Linked DNA regions of Lonchura striata. The protein of the gene in region 4 interacts with the protein of the main gene of each other region in a pairwise test. Links are inferred from orthologs where the notes say so. Each region holds a gene or a part of one and is shown on either strand. Other genes may lie near its edges.

Region 1 (7,296 bases), on a different chromosome or scaffold from region 4:
GCAGCGATGTTCCCAGCTGTGTCCCTGCCCCTTCCCCACGCAGCGATGTGCCCAGCTGTGTCCCTGCCCCTTCCCCACGCAGCGATGTGCCCAGCTGTGTCCCTGCCCCTTCCCCAGGCAGCAATGTGCCCAGCTGTGTCCCTGTCCCTGCCCCTTCCCCACGAGGCAATGCTGCCCAGCTGTGTCCCTGCCCCTTCCCCAGGCAGCAATGTGCCCAGCTGTGTCCCTGCCCCTTCCCCACGAGGCAATGCTGCCCAGCTGTGTCCCTGCTGTTGGCCTGGGGAGGAGCCAGACCCATCTCTCCTGAGGCTTCACAGGGCCAGCAGGAATGGTTTGGGTGAGCAGGGACCTTACAGCTCATTCCGTTCCATGCCCCATCTTGGCAGGGACTCCTTCCCCAGCCTGGGCTGCTCCGAGCCCGGCCCCGCTGACGTCCTGCAGCTGGACCCTGTCTGTGCCCAGTCCGTGTCCCTGTCTGTGCCCAGTTCGTGTCCCTGTCTGTGCCCAGTCCGTGTCCCTGGGGTGCCCAGTCCATGTCCCCGGGGTGCCCAGTCCGTGTCCCCGGGGTGCCTGGTCTGTATCCTTGTCTGTGCCCAGTCTGTGTCCCTGTCTGTGCCCAGTCCATGTCCCCAGGGTGCCCAGTCTGTATCCTCGGAGTGCCCAGCTCACCCTCGGAGTACACATCCCATTGGGAGCTCACCTCTGGCAAAGTTCCAGCCGGCGATGTAGCAGGATTTCAGCTCCAAGACCCTGATGGAGGCGTCGGGCACGCAGCCCAGCTGGATGTAGTCACTGCACTCCACGGGCCGGTCCAGCTCCACCAGGGCGATGTCATTCCTGGCTGTGGCAGGCACGTAGTGCTGGTGCACCAGGAGCCTCTGGATGTGTCTCACCTCAGCCTCGGGGCCCGGCTGGCTCAGATCCGAAACCCCCATCACCACTTCCCACCTGGAGATGCCCCTGGGGAGCAGATGGACAGAGGGGTGACAGAGAGAAAGATGGACAGAGGGGTGACAGGGAGCAGATGGACAGAGGGGTGACAGGGAGCAGATGACAGAGGGGTGACAGGGAGCAGATGGACAGAGGGGTGACAGGGAGCAGATGACAGAGGGGTGACAGGGAGCAGATGGACAGAGGGGTGACAGAGAGAAAGATGGACAGAGGGGTGACAGGGAGCAGATGGACAGAGGGGTGACAGGGAGCAGAGCCACGGGCTGCAGCAGCCCAGCATTTCCCGGCCTTCTGCTTCCCAAGGCGGGCAGGGAAGTGGCACGTGGTGCTGTGAGCTGGGCACCTGCCCTGCCCCAGGGACATCTCTGTCCCTGCTGTTTCTTACCCGGCCCTGGCGAAGCAGTGTGCGACCGTGAGCACCCACTGGGAGCTGAGGAGGACACCCGAGCACATGTGCCACGTGCCGTTCTCCCAGGTGGCCTGGATGCTGACAATGCCGGGCCAGGCCCCTGGCTGGACACCCGTGCCAGCCACAACACGGGACAGGTCAGCAGCAGAAGTCACGGAGTCGTAGTCGAGAACTGAAGAGCTGTGGTCGGAAGCCAAGGGCCGGAGCCCGCAGGTGCCTCTGGAAGCACAGAGCCATCACTGCCCTGCTCGGGGACAGCAGGGACAGGGACCCCGAGGGGCTCCTCTGTGCCCAGGCTGTGCCAGGGAAGCCCCCGAGTGTCCCCGAGCCCCCCTGACCTGCAGGTGTCCCAGGTGGCCCACACGGGCCCGGCCAGGGCCAGCAGGACGAGCAGCCCCAGCAAAGCCATCGCTGCAGGTGGCAGAGGCGGAGCAGAACTGTCACCTCTGGTGCCACCCGCGGCCCTGGCAGTGCCCACGGTGCCACCAGGCTGGGCTGATGTCACAGACGGTCGGTTCCATGGGTCGGGGCAGCTCGGTGTCACAGAGTGGAATGTGGAATGGTCTGGGGGCAGCACCCAGAGCACCAGCATGGGGTCAGACCCGCCCGGCACCGGGCTGGGCATGAGCAGCTGGAGCAGCCCTGGGAGAAGGATTTGGGGGTGCTGGGGGTGAGAGCTCAGAGCCCTGGCAGGGCCTGGAGGGGCTCCAGGAGAGCTGCAGAGGGACTGGGGACAAGGATGGAGGGACAGGACCCAGGGAATGGCTCCCACTGCCAGAGGGCAGCCATGGATGGGAGATTGGGAATGAGGAATTCCTGGCTGGGCTGGGATTGCCAGAGCAGCTGGGGCTGCCCCTGGATCCCTGGCAGTGCCCAAGGCCAGGCTGGACACTGGGGCTGGAGCAGCCTGGGGCAGTGGGAGGTGTCCCTGCCCAAGGAATAATTCAGTAACCAGTAGAAGACAGAACGCTAATTAATGAAAGAGGTTTTAATGTCATTTAGAAGCAATGAACATTGATTTCTTTGTCGGCTCAGAATGCACAAACGGGTGACAAAGTTTTGTCCCGGGCTCTCTGTGGAGCCCCTGGGCAGGGACAGAGCAGGGCCGGGCTGACGGACGCTGGAGCAGCTCGAGTTCCGTTCCTCCCGGCGGCTCCGGGCGATTCCGGCCGCACCGGGAGCACCCCCGGCTCCCTCCCGCGGGGGACAGGGGGACCGGGCCCGGCTGAGGCGGCGCTGCCCGGGCTGGCTCGGACAGAGCCGAGGGCGCTGCGGCTGCTCCCCATCGTTACCGGGGGGTGTGGAGCGCCGGGATGCTCCTCCGGGCCGTCCCCAGAGGGGACACCCGCTTGGAGAGGGGCTGCAGGGGCTGGGGGGACCGCGGCCGCCGTGGGGACGGCACGGGAGGGGCCGCGACACCGCTCGGGCCTCTCCGGGACACCGCTCGGCCCGCTCCGGGACACCGCTCATTGCTCCGGGACACGCTCGGCCCGCTCCGGGACACCGCTCATCGCTCCGGGACACCGCTTATCGCTCCGGGACACCACTCAGCCCGCTCCGGGACACCGCTCATCGCTCCGGGACACCGCTCATCGCTCCGGGACACCGCTCATCGCTCCGGGACACCGCTCGGCCCGCTCCGGGACACCGCTCATTGCTCCGGGACACCGCTCGGCGCTCCGGGACACCGCTCGGTCCGCTCCGGGACACCGCTTATCGCTCCGGGACACCGCTCGGCGCTCCGGGACACCGCTCGGCGCTCCGGGACACCGCTCGGCCCGCTCCGCGCTCCCGGCGGAGACACCCTCGGGGTCACCTCCCTGCCGGGGCTCTGGCCCGCCCGCCGCGACCCCCGCGGATGGCGGGCACTGAGGGCGACACGGGAGGACACGGGGGGACACGGGGGGACACGAGGAACACGGGGGGACACGGGGGGACACGGGGGACACGGGGGGACACGGGGAACACGGGGGGGCACGGGGGGACACGGGGGGACACGGGGGGACACGGGGAACACGGGGGAACACGGGGGGACACGGGGGGACACGGGGAACACGGGGGGACACGGGGGGACACGGGGGGAAACGGGGGGAAACGGGGAGAACACAAGGGGACACAGGAGGACATGAGGGGACACAGGAGGACACGGGGGGCCACGGGAGGACACGGGGGGCCACGGGGCACTCCAGGGGACACGTGGGGCCACGGGGGGACACGAGGGGACACACGAAGGTACAGGGCCACCCGGCTGTCACCACTCTGCGGTGCGGGGCCGAAGGCCACGCCCCCACTCTGGCCACGCCCTCATTACTGACCACGCCCCTTGGGGACACGGCTGTCCATCGGCGCCCAGGCCACGCCCCGCGCCAACAGACCACGCCCCCGCCGCCAGGCCACGCCCCCAGGGCCCGGGCCACGCCCCCGCCACCCGGCCACGCCCCCAGGGCCCGGGCCACGCCCCCAGGTCCCGGTCACGCCCCCAGGGCCCGGGACACGCCCCCGCCGCGCGGGAGACCCCGCCCACACCCGAGCGGCGCGCGCACGGCTCCGCCCCGCCGTGTCCCCCCGTGTCCCCCGGTATCCCCCCGTGTCCCCCGTGTCCCTCCGTATTCTTCCCGTGTCACTCCGTGTCCCCCCGTGTCCCCCGGTATCCCCCCGTGTCCCCCGTGTCCCTCCGTATTCTTCCCGTGTCACTCCGTGTCCCCCCGTGTCCCCCGGTATCCCCCCGTGTCCCCCGTGTCCCTCCGTATTCTTCCCGTGTCCCCCCGTGTCCCCCCGTGTCCCCCGTGTCCTCCCGTGGGCCACGCCCACAAACCGCCTTACGAGGGGCGTGAACCGCCCCCGGTAACGGATCCGTTTGCCCCGCCCCCGCGGCGGCTTCCGGCGGAAGTGGCGGCGCGGCGGAACCGGCCGGAGGTGAGGGGGGCCCGGGCACCGGGGGTGAGGATGGCGGGTACCGGGGGTGAGGATGGCGGGTACCGGGGGGTGAGGGCTGCGGGTACCGGCGGTGAGGATGGCGGGTACCGGGGGTGAGGATGGCGGGTACCGGGGGTGAGGATGGCGGGTACCGGGGGGTGAGGATGGCGGGTACCGGGGGTGAGGATGGCGGGTACCGGGGGGTGAGGATGGCGGGTACCGGGCGTGAGGATGGCGGATACCGGGGGTGAGGATGGCGGATACCGGGGGTGAGGGCTGCGGGTACCGGGGGTGAGGGCTGCGGGTACCGGGGGTGAGGATGGCGGGTACCGGGGGTGAGGATGGCGGGTACCGGGGGGTGAGAATGGCGGGTACCGGGGGTGAGGATGGCGGGTACCGGGGGGTGAGAATGGCGGGTACCGGGCGGTGAGGATGGCGGGTACCGGGGGTGAGGATGGCGGGTACCGGGGGTGAGGATGGAGGGTACCGGGGGTGAGGATGGCGGGTACCGGGGGGTGAGAATGGCGGGTACCGGGGGTGAGGATGGCGGGTACCGGGGGGTGAGGGCTGAGGGTACCGGGGGTGAGGATGGCGGGTACCGGGGGGTGAGAATGGCGGGTACCGGGCGGTGAGGATGGCGGGTACCGGGAGTCCGGAGGGATCCGGGCGGGAGGCAGGATGGTCCCGGGGGGTGCCGGTGAGGGGCCCGGGTGGTGTCCGGGGGTCGCGGTGGCTCTGGTGGTCCCGAGGCGGTGACAGTGGAGGGCCCAGGGCGGTCCGGGAGGTGCCGGGGGTTGGAATGGTGTCCGGGGTCAGGATGAGGGATCAGGATGGGGGTCCTGCACGGGGGTCCAGAGGGGTGTCCCGGGGGTCCGGGTCATGTCCTGGCGGGCTCAGGATGGGGGTCTCGAGGGGGTCGGGATGGGAGCCCTGGGCTGGCCGGGATGTGGGTGCCGGGGGGTTCGGGGTGGTGTCTGTGGTGTTTGCTGCCCCTTTGGTGTCCTGGTGGGCCCAGGGCGATGCTCCTGCCCGTGCCAAAGGTGCCTTTTCTCCTTGCCCTGCTTCCCCCCCAGATCCCCCCGCCATGGAGAAGTTCGGGATGAACTTCGGGGGCGGCCCCAGCAGGAAGGAGCTGCTGGAGACCATCGAGACGCAGAAGCAGCAGCTCCTGCGCTTCCAGGCGCGCCTCAAGGACGTGGTCCAGGCCTACAAGAGCCTCCTGAAGGAGAAGGAGGCGCTGGAAGCCAGCCTGAAGGTGCTCTCCGTGTCCCACGACGGGGACCTCGCAGTGCCCCCGCCCGGGGCTGGGGACTCCCCGGACGACCGGAGCTCGGAGCACAGCGAGGACAGCGCGGGGACGGCCGCCGGCGCGGACGCCGCGGCCGGCCTGACCGGCGCCGGGGGGGACGAGGAGGACAAACCCGCGGGCGGCGCTTCCCAGAGAGCCGAGGAGCCGGGCGGCTCGGAGGGCGGCTCGCCGGGCGAGCCCGAGCGGCGCCTGCAGCAGCTGAAGGCGCAGCTGGCCACGCTGACGGGCGCGCTGGCCACGGTGACGCGGGAGAAGTCGCGCATGGAGGCGTCGTACCAGGCGGAGCGGCGGCAGATGAAGCAGGAGCTGGAGGAGGCGGCGGGGCGGGCGCGGGACGAGGCGGAGCGGCGGGACGCCGAGCTGCGGCGGCTGCGGGAGCAGCTGGCCGAGACCCGCGCCCGCCTGGCCGCGCAGCAGCGCGAGCGCGAGAGCGAGCAGGCCGACCACGGGCTGATGCTGCGCGAGCTGCAGGAGCTGCTGCGCGCCGAGCGCGCCGCGCGCCGCGCCGCCGAGCGAGCCCCGGGCCACGAGCAGCACGGCCGGCGGCTGAGCCACGAGCTGGAGGAGCTGCGCAGGGAGCTGCAGGACGCGCGCGAGGAGAGCGGGAGGGCGGACCCGCGGATCCGGGAGCTGCAGGAGGAGATGGCCGCCCTCAAGAACCACTTCCAGCTGCAGCTGGTGCAGGAGATGAAGAAGGTGATTGCTGCCTGGGAATGAGGGTGGTGCGCAGGAGCTGGGGCGAGGTTTGGGGCTGCGGGAGCCAAATCCCCTCTCCCAGTCTCTCGGAGTCCAAAGCGTCCCATCGCGGATTGATGGGATGATAATTCTGGGGAGCAGCTCTGTGTGGGATGTATCCAGGGAGTGGGGCTGGAGTCAAATTCCCCTTCCCAATCCTTCAGATTCCAGGAGGTTCAAAATAAATGGCACAGGGTGCCCAGAGTAACTGGGGCTGCCCCTGGATCCCTGGAATGCCCAAGGCCAGGCTGGACACTGGGGCTGGAGCAGCCTGGGGCAGTGGGAGGTGTCCCTGCATGGCAGTCGTGGAGAGGCTCTGGGGTCCCTTCCCACCCAACCCATTCCACGATTCTAAGCACAAACCCCTGAAAAGCCAGGACAGGGAGGTGTCCAGGCAGGGCTCCTGGGGTGGGGAGGGCCCCGTGTTGGTTCGGAGCACAGGAGGGGCCCCGTGTGACCCCAGGTGAGTCCCCACGTGTCCCCACGTGCCCTAACCCCGCCGTGTCCCCGCAGACAGCCCAGGCCGAGGAGCAGCTGCGGCAGCGCTCGCAGCAGGAGGAGCGGCGCGTGGCCGAGCTGGAGGCCCAGGTGTCCCAGGTGTCCGAGCTGCTGGGCACCTACGAGAAGGCCAAGCAGAGGGACCAGGGCACCATCCAGAGGCTCAAGGACCGCATCGTGCAGCTGGACCTGGAGAACAAGACCTTGGCCATCGCCGCCTCCAGCCGCTCCCTGGGCGAGGTCGCCGTGGAGGAGGCCACCCTGGACGTGGGCGCGCTCAAGGAGAAGATGGAGAAGCTGCAGAAGCTCCTGCAGGCGGCGGCCGGGAAGGGCCCGGCGGGGCCGGAGGCGGAGGAGCCGCGGGAGCCGGAGCAGCCCCCGGGCGGCGGGGACGGCAACGGGGACAAGGCCTCGGGCGGGCACTGCCAGCAGGAGCTGAGGCAGCTCAAGGAGGAGTTCGAGCGCTACAAGGTGAGGG
Region 2 (7,453 bases), on a different chromosome or scaffold from region 4:
AGTAGCTGCACCATTCCATCCTAAGGAGCCGAATGGAATTCTAGAAATGCCCACTCCTTCGAAGCCCCTGCCACTGCATCCTGTCACTATTCCCAACTGAAAAAAAAAACACACAGAAGTTGTACATCTGCCTATTTTTTACTTTTACATGAAAAAACACAGGAGTCTACCCTGCTCTGACTCAACAGCTAACGAGCTGCCTGCTTTGGTCTTGAGGCTCAGAACTGGGAAGCTCAAATCCCATCCCAGTTCTCCTGCTTTTTGTCCATCACATTCACAGTTTCAAACTCACATTATCTCTCCTTTTCCCCAAGGATTCTGTGAAGTTTTTTCTGCTTTTCTTCTGGCTGATAACTGAATGGAACCTGGAAATAACATTTCTTTTTTTCAACATAAGTGAAAACTAAGGATTTAATGCTCTTTAATGACAACTATCAGGAGCAGAATATCAAAAGATTAAACTGTGGTCCCTGGCACCAGAGCATGAAGTCGTCACAAAGTATCAAATGCTAAGGAGAAATACAGTTCAACACAAAGGAAGATTAAACCAAAAAGCTTGACAAAGCGGAATTAAATGATTATTTCTGTATTTTTGATATAAATACTGAGGGTATGTCACACAGGACATTGTTACACTGGTTGTTGCAAAAAGACCTGGGGGAGCCAAGGACGTGCTCACTAATGGACTGATAAAATTGTCCCCTCCTTGCAATAAGAAAAGATGTGGGATTTTTTCCATGGAAAGCATCCCGGGGGACCGGAGCCTGGGAAAGCTGTGTGCTGGAGCTGGAGGGCACGCAGAGGTCAGGAGGACAGACAGCTCAGCCATGAGCAGGGGACATGCTGTGACACCCAAGTCACCCCAGGCTGTGCCGTGCCGAGCACCAGGTCCGAACATCAACCCCCCAGCCTGGCTCCAAGATACTCCCCACCCCGGGAACATCCATGGCTCTGCCCCTGTCCTCCCAACCACTGCCCTGGCACCAGCTCAGCACTGCTGCTTTCTGTCCCTCTCCCCTCCAGTCCCAAAGCCACTGTTACGAGTAGGGCAAGGACTCTACAGCCCTCCGATGTGCCACTCGGAAAAGGGCGTTTTTCCTCAAGGAAATCTGCATCGGCACAGCACATTCACTTCGACATCAATAACCAGCAAACTCCCCGCACTCCAAGCATCCATCAGGAGCATTGGAGTGAGAGCAGGAAGTTAAAAATACTCCTATAATCCTGTTAAATGCAAGCTTTGCTTCCAAAAAACAATACCAATTTTATCTCTGTGCTGAAAGGTAGGACATGAACAAGAGATCTGCATTCAGAGAGGCAACCATAATAAGCTCATCCTTAGCTCTGCCATACTCTGGACTCTCTGCAGAAGTGACAAAAAAAAAGGGGATGTCACTGCCAGAACTAAAACCTATTTAATCTGCAGACTTCATGGATGACAAGATCCATTTGGAGGAAAACTGCATAGATTTTATCAAACCACTGCTAAACTGACTTCAGCCAGAAACCTCATACTGCACATACTGACACTGCCAGCTTCTCACAGCTCATTCCCAAAGGAATTCACACCAAACACAAATCCTGTAGTTCTGATTTACAAAATTCCCTCCTGTAAGCCTGTGGCTCTATCCTTGGGTAACAACATATTGCCAATATATTGCATTTTCTGCTTTTTCCATAACAAAGGAAGCCGGGGAGTGCAAAGCCTTCAGCATTAGCATACTAGACACAGTCACTTTTTAAATACAGTTTTGTTTCCAAGTAAGTGGAAGCAAAATTTTCCAACTACCTTTCTCACAGTGCCCAAGTCAAATAATGAGCAGATATCCAGCAGCAGCTTTCCTAAGGATAAATATTTCAAGGAAGAAAGAAAACACAGACAAATTCAAAGAAATTTTGCAGTACTGATGTAAGCTACTCTACTTTGGTTTCTGGCAGTGTAAGTGAATTAGGAGGAGTCAGCATAAATTACCAAGACTTTGTTGATAATGTCTTAAACAGTGAAATAAGAACCTGCATCTCCAGCTTCTGGCACCTTGGTTCATAAATAACTTCTGGTGTGGTAAATCCACCTTGATCTGTAACCCAGGTAGGCAGTAACAGCAAATTTTAAATAATACCGGGTCCACATCTCCCTCCTTTTTACCTCACCAGTAAATATTTATTCACTCTCAGCCCTGAAGTAGAAAATCCCAACTGAACTGCAGCAGCACTAGGCATACTTCCTATCAGACACAGCACAAACCAGAGTCCAGGGTGAAGGAGATGATTTGCCCTGAAGATAATCAGCACTGCCTCATTCCACAAGAATTTTAACAACATACTCAAGATAACCTGGCCCTCCAGAACTACTGCTCCCAAACCCATATCCCATCAACAGCTCTTCGTTATCCATTAGAAAGGAAAAAAAAATACGCTCAGCAAAGAGCCCCTGTGACTATTGCTGCTTTCACACAAAGTACATACTGTGTGCTCCTCTCTGCTATGCACAGGATATAGTACATTTTTTAATAAAAAAAAGCATTTTCTGTCATGCTGATAATCGCATTCTACACACTTTACCCGTAAATGCCTCAAGGACTGCTGTCATAAAAAGGATAGGATGCAGAATTAGACTTTGTCTGCTTTTTGTATGCTGCTGGGAGCTACACAGTGTAATGTGGCTGAAGCAGACAATTAACCTTTCTCCATTCAAACGCTCAACCACTTAAGACACACAGTCATTTACATGGGTTAAAAAATACAGCAAATATTAAAATGAACTTGCATTTGCTGGGTGGAAACGCCACGCTTGCCTTCCTTAATCCCGCTGTACATTTTTATTAGGCATCGCCGGCTCTGACCAAGTGTGAAATAATGACATCTCTCGGAGATACGGTCTCAGCACGCCATTGATGAGGGTTAAAATAAGGGAGGCTCGTCCCGGAGGAGCGTCCTGAGGGTGCGGCTGGCACTGACCTGCGCGATCCATCGAGGCCGCTCCCAGCTCCGGCTCCAGCTCCGGCGGTGCCCGCGGCCGAGCGGCGGCCGGGGCAGGCGGCGCCGCCGGTCCCTCCCTCCATGTTGCGTATACGGCACCCAGCGAGCAGGGAGCGCGCAGCGCAGGGAGAGCGCAGGGAGAGCACAGAGCACACCCAGCACGGAGCAGAGCACACACACACAGCACGGAGCGGAGCACACCCAGCACGGAGCAGAGCACACACACAGCACAGAGCGGAGCACACACACCCAGCACGGAGCAGAGCACACCCAGCACGGAGCGGAGCACAGAGCACACCCAGCACAGAGCGGAGCACACACAGCACAGAGCGGAGCACACACAGCACGGAGCAGAGCACACACACAGCACAGAGCGGAGCACACACACAGCACAGAGCGGAGCACACACAGCACGGAGCGGAGCACAGAGCACACCCAGCACAGAGCGGAGCACGCACAGCGAGCACGGAGCGCGCAGCACAGAGCAGGGCACACAGAGCACGGAGCAGAGCACACCCAGCATAGAGCAGAGCACACACAGCACGGAGCAGAGCACACACAGCGAGCAAGGAGCACACACAGCGAGCAAGGAGCACACACAGCGAGCAGGGAACACACACAGCGAGCAGGGAGCACACCCAGCATAGAGCAGAGCACACACAGCGAGCAGGGAGCACACACAGCGAGCAGGGAGCACACCCAGCATAGAGCAGAGCACACACAGCGAGCAGGGAGCACACCCAGCACGGAGCACACCCAGCACGGAGCACACCCAGCACGGAGCACACCAGGCGCACACGGAGCCGCGGCAGCAGCGGCGTGGAGCTGCCGGGGGAAGGAAGCGGCAGCGGCTGCTCCCGCGCCAGCCCCGCCGCGATGCTCCCGAGCCCCGGGTTTAGCCCCCCCAAAAAGGGCTGTTCATAAAGGAAAAGCACAAGGCAGCTGGCGGGTCTGGGCTCCATCTTGCCCTCCCTCAGCAGCACCGATTCATGTTTTCCTGAGGCTGCTACAGGCATTTCAGCTGTAACCCTTTCCCGGCTGCAGGAGAAGGCATCTCTTGTCCTGAGCACCTCCATCCTAGTCCCTCGGATACACGTAGGGATGTTTTCACCTGCTCTGCATGGTTTAACCCCTAAATAACACTCAAACAGGTGACCAGGTAAGGATTATATGAGCAGGAGTTATTCCCAGTTCTGCAAAGTGGTTAACCTTGGATATATCACGTTAATATGTTTGCTGTTCTGCTTCCTCCTTTTGGAAAACAAAGTAATATTTACTGCATTCCCAGAGGAAACGTGTAAGCCTTAATTTATTTCCCTGTTTGAAAACGAGCTGTGTAAAAACTGCTATTAAAATTTCTAGTTCATACATCAAATCAGAAATGAGAAATAATTATTACAACCCAACTTTCAGATCCCATTAAAAGACTGAAATCCTTCACCAGACCACCAATGCAGCAGTGAGGATGATGAGCTCTCCATCCGACACACTGAGGCCTGGCCTAGCAAATAAGAAGAAAGCCTGGATGATGGACGACCCTCGTTTGGCCATCAGCTTGTTGTGTGACCGTCATCAAGTCATTTTAATCTTTCTGTATCAGTACAGAATGCAGAGCTCTTCTCACTTCTGTGAAACAGCCCAATAATTTCTGTATTGTTATCACTGCTACTCCTGCCTGAAGCTCAAAGGTACAAGCTAGAATTTGTAGCAATACTAGCTATTGGCTGGTCACAGCCCATGGAAACTCCATGTAGAATCTAAAGGTTTTGCACATAGCTCCTTTCAACACAGTAGGATGCTGAGGGTTATCAGTGTAGGTGAAGATTTGGGGGAGGGAGGAGTGTGAAATTCTGTATGCTCTTGGGACTCAGCAAAACACCAAGTTCAGAAAGACAAAAAGACTTCCAAAACACCACCATTTTGTTTAAATTCAACAGAAGAGGCTGCACAGCCCCAAATTATACAGAACATTCTCTACAACTGTTCTTTTTTAGTCTGTAATGGTTGGATCAGCACTGCTTGCTAAATGCTGTACAACCGAGTGACAATAACTCCGTTCATCAGCCCTGATGGCTAAGGACACAGCCAGGCCAAGCATGAGCTCAGCACTTACAGGAGACAGGGAAGATTCAAGCTTGGCAAAGCTGAGCAAAGTCAAACAGGTTATACCCGTTCTGTGCCTAGAAAGCTTAATGATCCTTTCCAAATCCCTCTTTCCCAATGCTAATTTTTCTTTGTTTCACCAAAACAGACATGCAGGAATGGGACAACCTAAAGATAGAAGAACTTAATAGGAAACAACATGTCCATTGAGGAAAAAAAGCTGTTCTCATTTTGCATCAGTGGCTCCTGGGCTGCAGAAGCTGTTTAAACACCCTTCCTGCCCCTGGACCTGCAGCTCCCAGTGACAGAGACAAAGGGATACTGGGTGGATCATCCCAGGGATTTTATACCTCAGCTGGTGGATTTACCTCTAACTTGAGTGGGGAAGTAAATTCAAATTCCAAAACAGGATAAAACAGAAGCATGCTGAGAAGTGAAGGATTTGCATGAAGTGATGGGGACAGAGCCAGGGCAGAGGTCCCCAGTGGTCCAAGGCCCCAAAGCACCAACAGAATAAAAACACAAGGTAAGAAACTCTGTGGAAATTCTCCACCAGGGTGTACTACAATAAAATACTGCACCCTAAGGTGACCACAGATAGAAGATAAACTTCTGCTTAAAGGAATGAGACTAAAACTCGGTTCCACAGTTCCTGGTGAACAGTGTTCAATCCAAGCTGAATGAAACAGAATCAAAGCAAAACCAAAGCTGTCACTTCAGAAAATGATAAAGCATAAAAGCACAACAGACACTGTCCACACAGCATCTGCTACAGCTTAAGGTCTACTACCCTGCTTAGAGGAGTAGAAATAGCTATGGGGAAAAATTAGAGAAATGTATTTACTACAGCTCCAGCTACCTGGAACTTATGACAAGTAGAAAGAAGGTGCATTTCAGTGCAGAGAGACTGAGCACATGCACTCCCTGCACAGCCAGGAGTTGAGGCATGGCAGAGGATTGTGCCCTGCTGCTGCTTTGTGTTTCCATGCTGAGATCCCACCTCCAGCTCCTCCTGCCAGCTTCTCTCTCCTCATCCAGGGCTACCTGTTCTCCTGCACTCCAGCTACAAACCTGCCAAGGCCAGAGCCTCTCTCACTCTTTATCTGTACATTTTTCAGTGCAGCAAAGCCTTTTTCCAAGGCCAGGGCTCAAGGACTGTACAGCTAAACAGTAATAAGGATTTTGTTTCACAGCTAACTAGAATTCACCAGTTATTAGGAACACCACTGGGCATGTCCAAGTGTCACATTTAAAAAGGTCTTTAATGATGTCTCTTGGAGAACCAGGCTCAAAACTCCTATGGTTTGATGTAACCTCACAGGTTTCCTGCACATGCGCTGGGTTCTTTCTGCTGGAGGTAAATTTTTACAGTAATGGATAATTTTTCCAATACAGACAAGATCTCTCTCCAGTCAGCTTTGTTTTTCCTCCAGTTAGGGCTTGAATAACAAGTGACTCAAATGGTGCTTTGTTGTTTTTTTCTTTTCCAATTAGGAGAACAGAGCAGAGAGGTATCCCTAACTGCAAGCTCTAATTTGCTGTTAAAGTAGGAATTGGCTTGGAAACATTTTCTCTTAATCCTTGGAATATCAGGGGGTGGCTCAGAATCAAATTCAAAACAAATCTCCAACCTGGAAAGCTGCTCTATGACATGGCCGAACCCATGACCAATTTGTTTAACTTCAAGTTGATAGAACTAACATGGATAATTTGATTACATAATGATTCAGCTTTCTAATACATAAATAAATTTTGGGAAGCTGCAACAGCAACTCCTATTTCAGACAATTCTCTCCTAACAGAAATTTCAACCACTTCAGGAACAGTATTATGCAATTCTTTACCACTTCTCACCTCTGCCAGTACTTTCTTTCCACCTCTGATAGTTTCTCTGAGTTTAAATACTATTCTATTTAAGAAGATAGAAGTGCCAACCAAGAGAGGATTTTAAATATAACCTCTTTGATTGCTTGAGGTTATCTATGCAGAAAAAGACCAAGGATGCTGCAAGCCTTCCTCCCTTGCTCCTTGCATAATTTTTCATTAAATTAAAAATGGAATTGCCATTAATAATGTATGCAGAAGAAGACACTGTAGGATCACTTTTGTTTCCAAAAGCAAATTAATTTACTGCAAAAATAGTTCAATGTTAAGATATACAAATTTTTGACTAAGTTATTTGAAGCACCACTATTGTAGAATATTTTACAACCACAGTTTTAGCTGAGGTGCTGCTCAATACAAACTGAAGTGCAGGAAACAAAGACCAACTGGACAGCTGGAACCAAGAAACTAAAATATTTAAAAGAAAATCTTGCTGCTAGCCCAAGCTGAGAACTATTTCATTGCTAATTAATGATATAGGTCACAA
Region 3 (7,665 bases), on a different chromosome or scaffold from region 4:
CTGTACTGTAGAGCTGTAGCCTTATGAAAACCATGACAGAGTAATTGGATCTGGCTTGCGTGCAAGGCAGCAAGAGAAATCAATAAAAGAAGAGGGAGGAAATGGGGAGGGGGACCTTTCACATTTTTGCAGTGAAATATCCCTTCATCTGACTGCCTGTAACTAACTTTTCATCATCCCTGATGTGATCTGTAGTTGAAGATTTCTCTGGGCTATAACCATAGTTGCTGGGGTGGGTGGTTTTATTTCTCTCATCTTTGCTGCTTGTGGGAGAAAATAAGACAAAGCAAAGCAAAACAAAACAAAACTTTGTAACTGCCCAGGCCTCTGTGTGCACCAGGATCCTTATCTAATGTCTGGACCTCACAGTCCCAGGGCAAACCTCACCCTGAGTGTGGTTTTTATTGTTCTGGTTTGTTTTCTTCCAGTTCAAAGGAAGGGTTGAGCCCCAAAAAGAGAAGTGTGTCCTTGGTCAGAAGTCTGTAAGTTCTCTGAGTCACACTTCACCAAAAGCCTCCAAAGTATAATCAAGTCAGTCATGTGGTCATCACTCAGTGACAGCTCCTTATCCTCTCTATCCACCTCTGTCCTCAGGGAGGTTAGAAAATGTGTTAATTAGAAGAATGATGAGGAGGGATTTATATAAAAAAAAAAAACAACAAAATCAAAACAGCACTTGTGGAGAGCACACCGACTAGAACAGAACTTACTGGCTGAAACAAAATTTCCAGATTCATGAAAAGGGAATAATTTTTTTTTTTTTGTCTTTGAATTATGTGGTGCCCTTCATGCCATTAATATGACATTGTGGTGAAATGAGTAACTATTGATACTCATTATACTCATCATATATTGATAGCATTGGTTCTCCAGTGGCACAATCCCACCTCATTGGCAGCAGCTGGTTTATACAGAATCATGGAATCACAGAACAGTTTGGCTTGGAAGGGACCTTAGAGATCCCCCAGTTCCAGCCTCCAAATTCCTCCCCAAATATTCTGTGTTCTTTAAGAGAGATCAAGGTTCTCCTTCTGTGGTGTCAAATTTAGGCTCAAAAAACCCAAACCAACCCAAAATTCCATTACTTCAGAGCCTCATCTCAGGGGCTGGCAGGTCAAGGCTTCAGTCCAGTGTGTGGTGGGAAAGAGGAGGAGTCTTGCAAATAGGTGGATTGGAGTGGAGCAGTGATTCTATCACCAAATTGTGGCTCAGCAGCAGCAGACAGCCCAAATTACAGAAATCCTGATTCCTTTATGCCACCTTTCCTGTTAATTGTTCACCTTTAGTCATGGTCTTGACTTTTCCCTTCCACAGAAGCATTAACAGAAAATCTAGGCCACCATCACCAAGATTTAATTCTTCCATCTATGCAGAGACTTCAATCTTCATAAACTGCATTTTTAGGCAACCAGCATTACTGGCTATTGAGGGCAGCAAAGTTAATCTTACTGAATACAGACTTTTCTAAATGAGGGTGACCTGAAATAGCTCAATAGTATCCATAAGCTATAGAGGGGGATAAAGCTGGGATATACCAAAGGAATAAAGGTAGGAACAACCTGAGGATGAGTGGTGATGATATTTTGGCCTTCCAAAACCAAGCTGAAAATACTCCCTGAGTGCAAGAGAGGATGTTTCTTTGGAAACAGACACATTGAACTATTCCTTTAGATTACACCACTCACAGAAATGACGCAGCTTTACATTACATTCTTATTGAGAAACATCCAGAAAAGTCCAGCTGACTTACTCATGGCACATTTTTCCAAGCCCCAAATGCTAAATGTAGTCTCTAACAGCAGATTTGACCCCAGCCATGCTCCAATAATTAGTCTATAGCGTGATCTTTATTAATAAAAGTTAATTGAAACCAAAACTCATCCCTCGGGACTTCCAATCAATGAACACACATGCACACACAAAAAGCCACACTAAAGAGCACTGGAAAATGCAGCTTCACAAAGAAAGAAACAATGGAAAGAAAAGCCCTCACTAAAAATAGTGCTGGTCTTTTTGTGCCTGGGCAGGAAATGTCGGCACCACCAATTCCAGCACTGAATAACGCTTTGTCTTTGGGAACGTTATTCAGCAGGAGGCAAAAGTAAATCAACAGCCAATTCTGCTGAGGAAAGTAAACATTTGCAGATGGGAAAATTGAGGCAAAATGGTATTAAGGGACTTGCTCAAAGTGAAGAAAAAGAAGTCCTTCTTGATTGCTGGTCATCTGTTCTGCTGGGACAAAAAGTCCTCAGCTGGAAAGGCCAAATGTCACTGTCCAGAGCAAGAGCTTATTATATGTAAACCAAATAAATGAAAATGGAATTTTCCCAAAGAGGTGTATGGCTTTGTTCCTCAGATGTATTTGAAGACGCAGTTCTTGGTCAGCATTCTGAGGACCTTCTTGCTGAGCTTTTTGCTGCAAATCCAGCTTTTTCTTCACTTTCCTTTGCGTATGACTTTGCTTGGCATCTCTCTTTCACAGGATCGAGAAAAAACAAGAAATAATCTCAGTTTTAATTACAATTACTTTAGATGAGGAGACAGATGGTACTTGCAGGCCTATGGAGTGATCCCAGCACTATCACGAGTTCTGTGCTTAAAGATCTGACTTCATCTGGGAAAGTTTGTTCTTGATCTGACTGAAAAAGTCAAACACATACAAATTGTCCTCTTCAGCTTCAATATTGCACATTATTCCACTGTTTTTATGCAGAAAAGCTTTTCTGCAGTGAAGGGACTGATCTGGCAATGCAGAGAATGTTCCTGGTCTGTCCATCAGTGCACATGCTCAACTATGAATATGAGAAATATCTCATTATCTGGCAGACCTGAGGTGGTCTGAGCAAAGCAAGGAATTGTGAAACCTTAAAAATTATTTTTTCTCAATAATCGCTGGCCACCATGTATTGTAAATCCTCATTTTGATGTTGTTTTTCTAGGGAATTAAGTAATTCCTTATGTGCCAATGTTGATGCTTTTGTCCCTCACCAAAACTTTTGAACTCTTTTAGATACACAAAGGCATAGAGGTCTTAAATAAATTAATTTCCTGTGAATTTTGGGAAAATAAATAGAAGAGGGGCAGCAGGCCAGCACGTCTGCAGTGCGTGCACAACTTCTGAGCTCAGAACATTTACTGGCATTATGGAATTGCTCACATTATTCCACGAGCAGTTTATCAGAATATGAGTACCCCAATCATCAGGGAAATTTTGCATTCTATGTTTTAAGAGTTTATATTTTATTAAAACTTTAGACACTGGAGAAGCCAAGCTCATAGAAATGTCTTGGGGTTTTTTTAAACATGTTTGATGTCCTGCATGGTTTTGAGTTGCCTTTAATTAAATTTTTGGTTCTTTTTATAGCCAAGTGAAGTTTCTGGCAGAATTTTTTTTTTCTCATGAAGTCTTACAATAGTTTATCTATTCAGTCTTCTGGCAAGATTTACATTTATTTTACTTTGCTGATCACAGGGTAAACATGCAAGAAATTAAATAGTCATCATATAATTTAGTCCTGTCTGTGAAAACCTAACAAAAGAGCCTTTTCCTACAACAGAAATGAGACTGACTGTCCTGTTGTAATAGCTTGAAATGCATTGGAGATAATGCGTTTAAAGAATAAGAAAGATATGTTCTAGTAAGCAGTGATAGCTCTAAAGTATTTCAAGAGCTGGGTTCAAAGTCCCTTGAAAGAATAACAGTCTTTCTGCTGACATTACTAATATTTGGATCAGGCTCATTAATGTATTGCAGATATTATATCCCCAGCTGCCAAAAAGCGGGGAAAAAAAAGGAGAATGTAGTCATAAAAATAGACATAAAATACATTTTTCTTGTGGGAATTAATATAGAAGCGAAATATTGCTGCTACCACTACTCTCCGGGGCTTTATTACAGATATTTCTTTACTTTTTTAAAAGGAATTAACAGGGCAAGCTGTTCATCCCATCCAGAACTCTGCCTCCAGCAAGGGCCATCGTCTAATGCCACAGAGCCTGGCAAAGGCTCGGATTGCTGCAATAGTTTTCACTCCGGCGCTGTAAATCAGTCCTTTCCGGGATGTGCTGTGCTGATGGAGAGGAGCAAGGGTGGGAGGAAAAATAGAAATATCCAGGCAAGACTTTCCCCATCTTTGGCGTGTCTTGGATTAATTACAGATCGATACTTGGTATTCGCCGGCTTTCATAGCTCATTAGCATCACACGGTGCCCGGGTGTAAATTTGTTACAGAGCTTGCCAAGAATCCGGGGGTGTCTGGAAGCAAATGTTCACTCGGTCTGTAAATGAGACACAACTGAGCTGACCAGTTTGAACTCTGGGTGGACAAATCATGTTCGGGATCTTTACCTGTGGCTCTCCAAGAGCCCCGCGAACCCATGGGTGCGTGTGGGCATGTGCATGTTCGTGTCAGAGAGGGAGAGGACGAGGAGAGGGATGGCGAGTGCCGCTCCTGGGTGCAGCTGAGAAGGCGGCACAATCCGGAACCAGGCGCTTATTTTATTCCAGCTCTTGGGATCATTCTCAGGTCGCCCACCTGCCTGCGCACAGAGACAGCGTTAGTAAGGGAATAATAATAACGTGAGAACGCCCCGGCAGCCCCCAGCCCTGACTCTGGGGAGCCCCGCTCTGTCTCTTTAAGGAACCCAGCGAGTCGTGATGCTGCTGTTTGTATTGCCGAATCCCCAGGAGTGCAGTTAAGAAACGGGCAGCTGTCTCTTTAAGTGTGATTTCCTTCTATTGTATTTGAATCGTGATCAGGAAAAAGGAAATGAAACCAGAGAGCCGGGGCTGAGCCACGGAGTAATAATAATCCAGGGGATGCGGCTGCCGCCGCTCGCAGCGCTGCCGCCCGGGCGCGGAGCGTGTGCGGAGCTGCCCGCGCGGAGCCGCTGAGCGCCGGGCGCGGAGCCGCGGTGGCGGCCGCGGCCGCCGCCCCCCGCCCGCCGCGGGAGCGGCCCCGCCGGCCGGGGCGCGGGGGGAGCGCGGCGGGGATGGGAGGTCAGCGCCGGGGTGGGACGTGCGGGGCCGGGGTGGGGGGGGCTGTGCGGGGCCGGAGCGCAGCCCCAGCCCCTGTGTGTCTCTCTCTGTCTCGGTGCTGCAGGAGGAAATCCTGTGAATGTCATCGCGGGGCGGCGGGGCAGCGCGGCTGGCGACAAGGCTCCGCGAGCAGACAGCCTCTGCGGGGGCGGCGGGGGCAGAGCCCACCACCGGCACGCCACAAAGGAACCGGCCCTGCCAATGTCATCGGCCATCGAGAGGAAAAGCCTCGATCCTTCCGAGTAAGTGCGCGCTTCTTCTGCCCGGTCCCCCGCTCGCCATCGTCCCCGCTCGCCTCCCGGTGCCACCCGTCCTCCCCGACGGAGCCGCCGCCGGCATTGTGCGCCTGGCAGCCCCGGAGGGCTTCGGCGGCAGCCCCCGCAGCTCCGACCCCCTTCCCCTGCACAGGACACCGGGCTGCCCCGGCCCCGCAGGGCTGACGGCGTGGGGAAGCTTGCGGAGAGCCTCCCAAGTTGAGGGAAGAGCAGCCGGGAGAAGAGAGGCGCAATTCCCCCCGGGCAGGGCATCTCCCACTCCCTCATCCCACCGCGGAGTGGTGGGGATGCTCGGCGAGAGAGGGAGCGTCCCGCTTCCCAAGCTTTCAGGTTTTCCATCCCGAGGGGCCCTCTCTGCCCCATCCCCGATCTGCCCGAGTCGCTGCAGACGATCAGTGAAAGGTCAGGGCTGTTAGCTGCGGGTGCCCAACTTCCACGTTTTCGTAATGCAACTTCCAAAAGCTCGTAGAAAGCTTTGGTGGGGGCTGGGTGCATGCTAAGAGCATGTAGACAGACTTGATGGACGGGATGTAGGAGATGAGAATTTCCCTCTCTGGGCTTCCCACTCAGGGAAGGGACCGGCTTCCGTGTCCAGATCCAGGCTTTCTCCCGGGGGGTGCTCCCGCTGTCCCGTCCCTGCTGCACACCCAGGGATGGTAACTCGGCACAGACCCAGGGCCACTTCAGCCCTGAACGTGCTAATTTACTGCACTGAGGCTTGTCCGGGATCGCGGTAAGAGAGAAGAAAAAAGAAATAAATTATAAAATCTCCGTTTCTAGATAACGCTTAAAACATCGCTCTCAGTAAATTGAGTCATACGTGGTTTGTTTCCTGTCAGATACTAAAAATGCCATTGCTTGGAGCCCGGAACGAGCACATGGGAACCGCTGCTTTTGGGGATTACATCACTTCATTCCATGATGTTTTACATGTTACATTTTCTTTTATGCTGTTTTTTAAGAAACTCTAATCTCAGCTCCTAATGATGTCCAGCTTTCATCTACAAAGTTTTTTTTTTAATCCTTATTTATTTACCTGCCTTGTGTTCTGGTGGCTTAAGTGCTGGCTTAGAAATCCATGGACATCAAAAGCCTAATGAGTTAACCAGGAATGCTGTTCTGCATAAACATCCGTTGGGCTGTTCCTGAGCTTAGGGCTCTCAGTGAAACCTGGCTTGAGATTCCCAAACACCCCTCAGATGAAACATTTTGGGGTACACTTCAAAGTTTCAGATAACAGAAAATGAAGGATAATGATGTGTGCTTCCTTCTACTGGAAAGCTCTCAGAAGTTCTCAGCATGGAGCCCACGTGTTAGGAAAGGGAGTATGTGGCCCAAAAGAATAAATTTGGGAAAAAATAGGGCCTAATAATGAGTTCCCCATGATTTTAATGAAAACTCACAGGATGGTGAGCTGGCAGGAGAGAGGTGTTACGACATAGCTTGCAGGGCACAGCAGTTTAAACTTAGAAGGGAGAAACCAGACAGAATAGAACCAGATAATATCTCAGAGCTCAGCTTGCCTAAATAAAACTCCAGGATCACTTTCTCAGCCGAGAAGTTTTTGACCAGAGGTCGTTTCTCCCTGCTGAAGAAAGTAATTTTTGCCCAGAAAACTGCTGATCCAGTAAATAAGCAGGAGTAATACAATTTTTTTCCTGTTGCCTGCTGGAAACAGGGAGCAGAGCTTCTTCATCAGTGTAGGTCTCCTCTGCCCCCAGCAGCCCACAGGAGGACAGACAAATGACAGAAGCAAATTGCTCAGGGACTCTGTGCTGGAGCACTAATCCAATAATATGAAAAAATTTGGGGTCCACTCTACTAGCTAAAGGTTTGAAATTAAGCAAATGCTTAAGGGATGGATCCAGTAGATTTTTTAAATTTACTTTTCTGGCATTTGGGTGAAGCCCAAAACAATACAAAACTGAGTTCAGGCACTGTTCTTTTAATTTTTTTTGCTGTTGTGAAATTACCCCAAAAGACACAGAAGTCTTTAAGAAAGTGGCTTTGAAGAAAATTCTCACTTCTTTAACCAGAATTATCCTAGATCTCCAAGCTTTTTAGAAAAAGGAACAAAATAAGGTGCATAAAGAGTCAGTGCTAATATCACAATAAAGATTTGTGTCTTCTTTCACTCATGGATGTGTAAATCCCAGATAATTGAAGTATGTTGGCACAGACCCATCCCAGGGGATTCATGTCCTTGGCTAAGGGAAAAAAGAAGTCCTGCAGCAACATGAGGTAAAATGCTGGCTTTATTAAAATCAGCAGCGAGACTTAAACCAGTTGGGCAACAGAATCAGCTGTTGTGTTTATTAATTTCGTGCTGTTCTGAGAAGTGACACTGACAAA
Region 4 (7,675 bases):
CAGTAATAGTGAACCAGAATCACTAGTTCAGAGAGGATGAATTTTTGTTGTATGTGCTGTGCTGGAGCATTAACTACCCTTCAGTGGCTTAGTGACCATATCAGACCTTACCTGGGAGATGCCACAGGGTCAGGATAGAGTGGAAAAGGACTGGCAGTTGGTCTGGGTTAGCATCTTAGAGAAGGAATACCAGCAGGAAAAATAAATGAGAGCTGTTCTTTCCTCCCCTGTTCCCTGAATTCTTGTTGTTTGATCCCTTGGAAGGGAACTGATGAGCAACTATGCTTTGTGCTGGCCTCTCTTTGAGACCATTTGTTACCTGTTTTCTTTTAATGTCTGAAATGTTAGATAATTTTTCCTATTTGGCTTGACCTCTTCCTTCCTGGGAGTGTACCTCCCCTTGTACTGGCTCTGTCTTCACACAGTGCTCTGTTAAAAGAAAGTCTAGCAGAAAACTAGAAGAAAGCTTGGGATTTGGAATCAGACGTGCCCTCAAACAGATGGTCTGAATCTCTGCAACATGTCCTGCTCCTCTCTGGAGGTGCTGTGAGGTATCAGATGTCAGTTGTACACTAGATGGTTCTGAAATAGCAGTGTTAGGGAAATTAGGGCAAACACTTCCATGAGATGGAAGCTACTCCACTGGTCACCTCTCCTACCTTTGTGCAGCCAGCCTTTTACCCAGCAGCAGTTTCTCATAAGCAGAGAGGTTATCTGTGGTTAGAATCTTGATTGCCCAGCAAATTGCTAAATGCCTGAGGAAGCAGGAGGAGAATGTGCAGCTTCAGGGTGTGTGGGTTTTTCAGTCTGGTTTACAGTGAGCACTGGAGGTTGAGTGTTTAAAATGCCTTGGGATCCTGACATCATTTGTTGCAGTATTAGACAGCTGCATTCTGTGCTGGGAAGCCACCCCAGCATTCTGGAATAGCCATGGGAGTTCAGTAAACTGCTTCAGAAACTTTGGACTATGAGACTGGCAAAGAGTGTCTATCCAGGCAGAGGCAGACCCAAACACTGTGTGAGGCAAGCGTGAAGATTACGTCCCTGTTGGGAGAGTGAAGGTACATGCTTTAGTTACAGACTATTTTCTTCAATTGCCCAATTCTCCTTCCCTCCCTCACCCCTGCAGTAAATGCTACCTTCCTCCTAAAGGACATGGGCCTGTATATATCATCAGTACACATGACTGAAACTTTGGTACCAGAGTCCTTTGTCCTTTATCCAGCTGCAAATCTGCTCAGCTCCATGTGATGCAGCAGCACAGGGATTTTCAGCTTTTGTTCTGCTGTTTACAAAGAGTGAAAAGATAAAAGGAAAAATGTTCATAAAACTAGAGTACAGTTATATAAAGAAGTGAACTGAAAACCTGCAGCAGGATCTATCCAAGATCTGACCTGGTCATCTGTCCAAAGAAGATGTTTACTTGCACCCCTTATGTGATGTGCTGTTCAGTTCTCTGTAAAGTAACAAAAATGGAAGAGACTTTGATTGTGATTTCTTACTGTGTGCAAAACATAGGTGGCCTTTGAGGTACCCCATTATTACTTTTCTGTAATAAAGAATCGATGATTCAAACTGTATGTGTGGGACACCCATGCAGAGTGCTCAGCTGCAGGATTGCATGTGACCAATGGGTTGGTTCATCCGTGCAAATTTTTGTGACGAGGGGACTCCCTTGGGTGATTGGCAGGGCTAAAACCCTGACATGTGAAAGAAGTTGGAAGAATAGTGGTTTCCCTGTGCTTTTGGATCTTGATCTCCAATTTAAAGTCTCTGGACTGCTTGCCTTTCTATTTCTTGGTGGCTGTTTGAATGGCACCTTTAGGTTAAAAATGTGTTTGTTTCTCAGTCTTGAAGATATTGATATAAGGGAAAATCTTGCACAATAGGATTGAAAAAAATTGGAGAAATTAAAGTGTGTAATAAATTAGGGCTGAGGGAATATAAAAACTTAAAATTAGTTTAGCACATCACTTGACAGATGGGAAGTAATTTATGTAAATTTAGGGAAGTGGTAGTTGGATTCAGTTGATCTAATTTAAACACTATTTCTAAGTATTTTTTGTATGTATACAGGGGATTATAGGATGGCCATTATTCTGACAGAAGGACTCTTCATGTTTAAATTTAAATCCATAAATGAGTACCCTATTAAAATGTAAACATGCTGTGATAACAAGCACCTGATTATGCAGACAGGTTAGTCCAGCTACTCTGGTGAACAGCTGTGTGCATGTATTTCAGATAATGCTTTTTCTTACACCCTAAGGACCACAGGCAGAGCCCTTGAGAGGTCAAGAGGTGTCTGTAAGGAGGCTTGCTGATGTTGAGTACAGATCTGAGAGCAGATGGGCTCTCACAGGTTTCCACTGAAAGCAGGCCCTGGTGGCACCCAAGGGCACAGGGAGAAGATGACACAATGAACAATTTCCCCTCCCTACACTCTGGTGCTACTAATCCAAGTTTAAACTCCTAACAGCATCTTTGGTGAACCTTCTCCTATAGATTTTGACAGCTCTCTCCTTTTGCCAAGAGAAGGATCATGTAGGTTTACTGGGGAGCTGCCAAATGACAGCTTGACTTCACACCTGAGAAGCAAATGAATGAGGAGAGAAGGAAAGCCTCAGCCCCTGCCTCCAGCCTGGCACAAACACAAAGAATCTTGGAAGCATGGGCCTGAGCAACCCCTGGAGCTGCAACAGCAGCAGCAGATGTGACACGAGCAGAATCCAAGCTGCAGCTGCAGTGGAGGAGGGAGCATGGGACCTGTTACCAAACTGCAAAAGCATTATTCATCAGCTGCACACCCTAGGGGTGGTGGAGGCCTGGCCATGGATGATTCGGAGGTGTGGGATAAGGCTTGGAGCTCTACACTGTACAGCAGCCTTCTTGAGTTGATTTGGCTGGCTTTCCTTCCTTGAGCCATTGCAGAAAAGACACTCTCTCAAGACATGCATTAACAATCAGCAGGGCAGCTGACAGCCATGATTCATTTTTAACTATCCCAAACCCAGTATTTTTGGATGTGTAACTCATGGTTTATAAACTCTGTGGGTAGAGGGCACCAAGAATGAGGATGCATGACACCTCTTTGCTCCTTGTGGGTTTAGGGCAGAATGCCAGACTGCTGTGGAGAGCTGCAGGCAGCCTGACTCCACGGGTGTTCAGGGACCCCATGGGTGTTTGGTGACAGCACAGGTGCTCATGAGCAGTCACCTCTCTCCTCCCACAAGCATCACGGTGAGGTGGCTCTGGCAGGGTATTCTTTGGTTCACAAGCCTTTTTGTGAGAGTAAGACTATTACAGCTACAAATTGCCCTTGGCTTTCTAACTGCTTGTAGAAAAGTAGTTGAAGTTGTGAATTTCAGACTACATTTTAAAATGGGAGAAAAATGCTTTGCATATGAGGGTTTTTTCACCAATATGGTGAACACTGTGCCTGACTCATCCTTCACATGGGAGAACTAAGCAAGCTTAGAAGAAATGACCCTCAGAGCAGGGATTTCTATATCATTTTTCTTTTAAGGGAAGAAATTTCCAAGGACTGGCCCCAAAGACTACAAGTTTGTTGCCTGACTCTCCCGCTCCCCAGGTGTTTGCAATCTGCAATTCTAGAAGTCCGGCATATCTAGCTGGATGCCTCTGCAGCAGCAAAGCCAGAGAACAACTGTTCTGTAGGAGCAGCCTGATGCCCAGGTCCTGCAGCGCTGGCTGTTCCCTGGCCAGCTCCCAAAGCATCTGTAAGGTGAGCGCTGGGAAGGCGTCAGGCTCTTGTACCAGCGCCCTGGGCTGCAGTACACAGGCAGCAGGAGCTTTGTGGAGCCTCACGGGAACACGAGGTGAGCAATCACAGCTGCAACTCATTTCAAAGGGACAAATGAGCTACCTGCAGCAAGCTGGGACGCTTCTGCCGAGAGGGCTGGTTGATTGTTTTTTTTTTTTTTGTGGGAGAAAGGTTCAGGTGGAGGAATTGAGTGGGAAAGTCTTGCACACTCCTCGAAGGGTGGGCATTTTCATCACAATTCTAGAGCGACTTCGCTGGGACATGAAGGACGTCAGCGTTAAAGGCAGGAACTGACCGAACAGACCTAATGGCCTCAGTGCAGGGCTTCTGCCACGAGGCTGCCCTTCCTCTGTTTCTGCTGACCCTTCGTTAAGTGCGTTTTTGGCAGGGCTGGAAAGCTGGGAGGTCACCCTTCCTCACGCCCCTGTAGAACAGCTTTTCGGAGCGGATCCGCGCAGAGGACACATTTTGTTGCGGGGATCACTAGAGCCGCCCGGGAGCAGGAGGGCCTGGCGCTCACACGGCACTCGGAGCCCCCCGGGGTATGGGCAGAGGTGGCCGCAGCCCCGTGCGCTGCAGGGCGCGCTGCCAGCAGGGGAGTGCAGGAAGGCGAGAGGGTTTCGAAGGGAGCCGGGCCCGCCGCAGGGCGCACCCCGCGCCCCCTGACCGCGGCACGGGGCCGCCGCGCGCCCCTCCCCTCCGCCTCTCCCGCCGGAAACGCCCCCCGCGCGCTGCCGGCACGGAAGTGGGCGCGCGGGGGGCCGCGCGGGGCGGCGCATGCGCAGGAGGCGGTGCGCGGCCGCGCCCCGCCCCCGCCGCGGTGGGGGTCTGGCGCGCGCTCCGTGCGCGCGGCGCGAGGCCGGGCCCGGGCGGCGGGCGCGGGGCGGGGGGCGCGCGGAGCGGAGCGGAGCGGAGGGGGCGAGGGACGCGCGGCGGGCGGGCGGGGAGAGAGAGGATGTGAAGATGGCGGAGCTGCAGATGCTGCTGGAGGAGGAGATCCCGGGGGGGCGCCGGGCCCTGTTCGACAGCTACACGAACCTGGAGCGGGTGGCCGAGTACTGCGAGACCAACTACATCCAGGTGCGCGCGGGCCGGGCCGGGCCGGGCGCGCCCTCACGGCCGCGCCCGCGGGGCTGCCCCGCTTGCCGGGCCCGCGGCGGCTGCTGCAGCCGGGCAGGGGGGGAAGCTGCCTCACCTCCAGCGTGAGCTACCCCGGCGTGACGAGGCGCTTAAATGTGTAATTGATTCCCGAACTGAATTGCTTCCACTTTGCGAGTGAATGTTTATTGCAGATCTTGTCTCTGTCCCCCCTTTTGGTTCCCTCCGCAAATTCTGATCTGCTTTGCTGCCGGCGCCGAGGTGATGTGATAAACACGGCTGACTCCTGCAAATACAGTGTCGATGCCTTGTAATTTAGAGCAGAATGACAGGCTTCAGTAGAGTTAAGTCTGTCCGTTTGTATTTCCCTTCTCAAGCAGGACTGTGGAATTCCATTGGAAGGGCAGCTACCAAGTGGTAGGTGCAGGATGGAAGGAAGCCTGATGTAGTAGAGCTGGTACAGAATTAGGGAGAAAGAGATGAAGCGCAAATTGCTACCGCATAGTGTGGTTTTTGCGGTGACTGCTCTAAAGCCAGGCTGGTGTTAGGACTCTGCTTTTTTCATTTCTCTTTCTAGTGGAAAGAAGGGCAAAATTCTCTGGGATTCTTTGATAGTGATAATAGGGCCAAATGAAAACTTTGCCCTCAAACACAAGAAGATACCCTAAGACATATCTGAGTGTGCAGTAGAGAAAGGTGGGGGGGAATGATGTGGATTTCTGGTGTCAGTGTTGAGAGAATTCCAAAGTGTCCCAGAATTGTTTTTGAATTCAGTCCCCGAAGGGCAGAGTGCTCGTGTGCTTCCAGAGGGCAGCTAGCGATGAGATCTGTGCTGAGACTGTTCTGTCAGTGAAAATGGGAGAGACTATTTAACCAGAGGCAGAGAATACCTAGAATGTCCCTCTAAAAAAGCTCTCACTGATTTTGTTGAACTGCTGAATGACCAGCTGTTCTTTAGAGAGAAGACTTTGCATATTTTGGGTCATTTACAAAACAGGTCAATTACAGTAGAATGCTATAGATGTATTTTATTATGTAATAACACTTCTGATCTTGAATTAGTGTGACTTAGGGTTTTTAAGAGACATGTTGAAATATTTACTTAGAGTTACAACCTGACATACCTGTATTTAAATTTCTGCTTTTTTGAGAAGTGATTTTTCTGGAATATGGGAGAGGAGCACTGGAAGGCAGAACCAGATAGGAAGAACTGCGTGTAGTTGGGTTTTTTCCTTTGACTTTTTTTTTCCTTTATTCTTTGTATAAATCAAAGTTTGTGAATCTCTATGGAACAGATCCACTTTTAATGTCTTAATGAATACTGCAGAAGAGGACTCCATGCTGTTTTGTGCAAATAGAGAAGGAAAAAAAGAAGGCTATTGCCCCAAACAGCGCAGTCCATAAGGACAGTCTAGGATCACAGGAGATGGATACAGACAGATGGTGAATGAAGGAAAAGAATGAGGCACTCTTGGTCAGCCTGATGGATTCTGACCACCACACAGCAATATCCTGACTGTTGGCAATTTATCCAAGCATCATGACAACAGAGAGCTTTAAGGGGGAAGTGAGAATTAAAGAATGAAATTGTGTTGTGAGCGTTGGCTGTGAGGTGCAGTATGGGTCACAGCATTAACATGCTTAAATTTTTAAGGAAGTGGGGAATGGAGCCATCGGCCAGGCAGAAGGCTCTGGTTTTTGGAATGCTCCAAGACATGAACAGGGTGGGTTTGTTGTGGAGAAGAGGTTCAGTGTGAGGGGATTTTGGATTTAGTGATGAGTGTCCTAGTAACAAATCTGTCAGTGAGCTTGCCCCACCTTCACAATCCCAGAGCTATGTAAACTGCTGCATCAGATCACTATAAAAAGCTGATTTTTTTTCTTCTCTGTGGGAGTGGAATAGATGAATGTGAATAACTATTGGTTAATTGGATATTTGTGGTTTTGCTTCTAATAATATTTATTATTCTAAAGTTGTTATGTCTGAAAGAAATCCAAATTATGTTCAAAATAGTGGCCTTGAGTTTTTAGGGGAAGATGGGTTTGTAAATGCTCTGAAATGCGTGGAAGAATAATCATTCAGAAAGTCACGTAATGAAGATGAACTAATTCTACTGTAATCCTGTAGTATTTCACTGCTGACAGAGGATTTGTTGTGGGTAATCTTGAGATCTAGGAGAGGCTCAGAACGTGACTGAGACCTGAAGTTTATTTGCAGGCTGGTAGGTGCTGTGCTGATGGGAACATTGAAGGCCCTGCACTGGTCTGTATTTTCTATTTCAGTAGCCAAACCACTCCCTTTCTGTGCCAATTGCTGCTTTGAAGTTTTATTGTGCCTGCAAAAACTGTTGCAAAAGCCAGTGAGGCCAGTGTAACAGAATTTGAAGTTCAGGTTTGAAGTGAATGGGTTTTTTCTCTTCCCCCACACCTAGCAACATAATTGCAGCTTCAAAATAATTAAAATGTAATCTCATACATGAGGAAATTGCTAGTTCATAGTAGTAGAGCTGTGGCAATTGCTACTCATTTGACTTCTGCTTATGAAATGAAAAACCTGTTCTTAAAAATTGTGTCAGTGTTTAACCAAATTATGATTGATGTGTAGCTCGATGACTTTAGCAACAGGGAATGTTACATAAAATGTTATCCTTCCCTTGAGTCTGTTATATGGTAGTGTATCAGAAAACATCAGCTTTAAATTTTGTGGAAAATTATAGGAAATACAGCAAATATATAATAAATGGACCTGCAGCAGTGAAAATAAAGACTGCTGTTTGGAGGAAAAAAAGTTTC

Evidence for each region.
Region 1: the proteins of ABI2 (region 4) and GCC1 interact in binary tests that used the Homo sapiens proteins (3 or more experiments, as listed by UniProt). The link is inferred for Lonchura striata from reciprocal best matches to the Homo sapiens genes ABI2 and GCC1.
Region 2: the proteins of ABI2 (region 4) and ARHGAP32 interact in binary tests that used the Homo sapiens proteins (3 or more experiments, as listed by UniProt). The link is inferred for Lonchura striata from reciprocal best matches to the Homo sapiens genes ABI2 and ARHGAP32.
Region 3: the proteins of ABI2 (region 4) and LMO2 interact in binary tests that used the Homo sapiens proteins (3 or more experiments, as listed by UniProt). The link is inferred for Lonchura striata from reciprocal best matches to the Homo sapiens genes ABI2 and LMO2.

What each region holds. Positions count from the first base shown.
Region 1 is NC_134607.1:72,892,620-72,899,915, reverse strand, and holds the start of GCC1 (GRIP and coiled-coil domain-containing protein 1), read left to right. Parts: upstream 1-4,294; 5' UTR 4,295-4,306; coding exon 4,307-4,322; intron 4,323-5,349; coding exon 5,350-6,281; intron 6,282-6,833; coding exon 6,834-7,296. Other genes in the region: acrosin, read right to left, coding at 683-960, 1,337-1,579, 1,699-1,769. UniProt on the Homo sapiens protein: Probably involved in maintaining Golgi structure.
Region 2 is NC_134625.1:1,488,546-1,495,998, reverse strand, and holds the start of ARHGAP32 (rho GTPase-activating protein 32), read right to left. Parts: upstream 3,011-7,453; 5' UTR 2,818-3,010; coding exon 2,768-2,817; intron 1,919-2,767; exon of another isoform or gene 1,790-1,918; intron 1-1,789. UniProt on the Homo sapiens protein: GTPase-activating protein (GAP) promoting GTP hydrolysis on RHOA, CDC42 and RAC1 small GTPases. May be involved in the differentiation of neuronal cells during the formation of neurite extensions.
Region 3 is NC_134608.1:54,470,426-54,478,090, forward strand, and holds the start of LMO2 (rhombotin-2), read left to right. Parts: upstream 1-4,650; 5' UTR 4,651-4,657; coding exon 4,658-4,694; intron 4,695-4,933; exon of another isoform or gene 4,934-4,992; coding exon of another isoform or gene 4,993-4,999; intron 5,000-5,102; coding exon 5,103-5,280; intron 5,281-7,665. UniProt on the Homo sapiens protein: Acts with TAL1/SCL to regulate red blood cell development. Also acts with LDB1 to maintain erythroid precursors in an immature state.
Region 4 is NC_134610.1:24,751,694-24,759,368, forward strand, and holds the start of ABI2 (abl interactor 2), read left to right. Parts: upstream 1-4,675; 5' UTR 4,676-4,747; coding exon 4,748-4,864; intron 4,865-7,675. UniProt on the Homo sapiens protein: Regulator of actin cytoskeleton dynamics underlying cell motility and adhesion. Functions as a component of the WAVE complex, which activates actin nucleating machinery Arp2/3 to drive lamellipodia formation.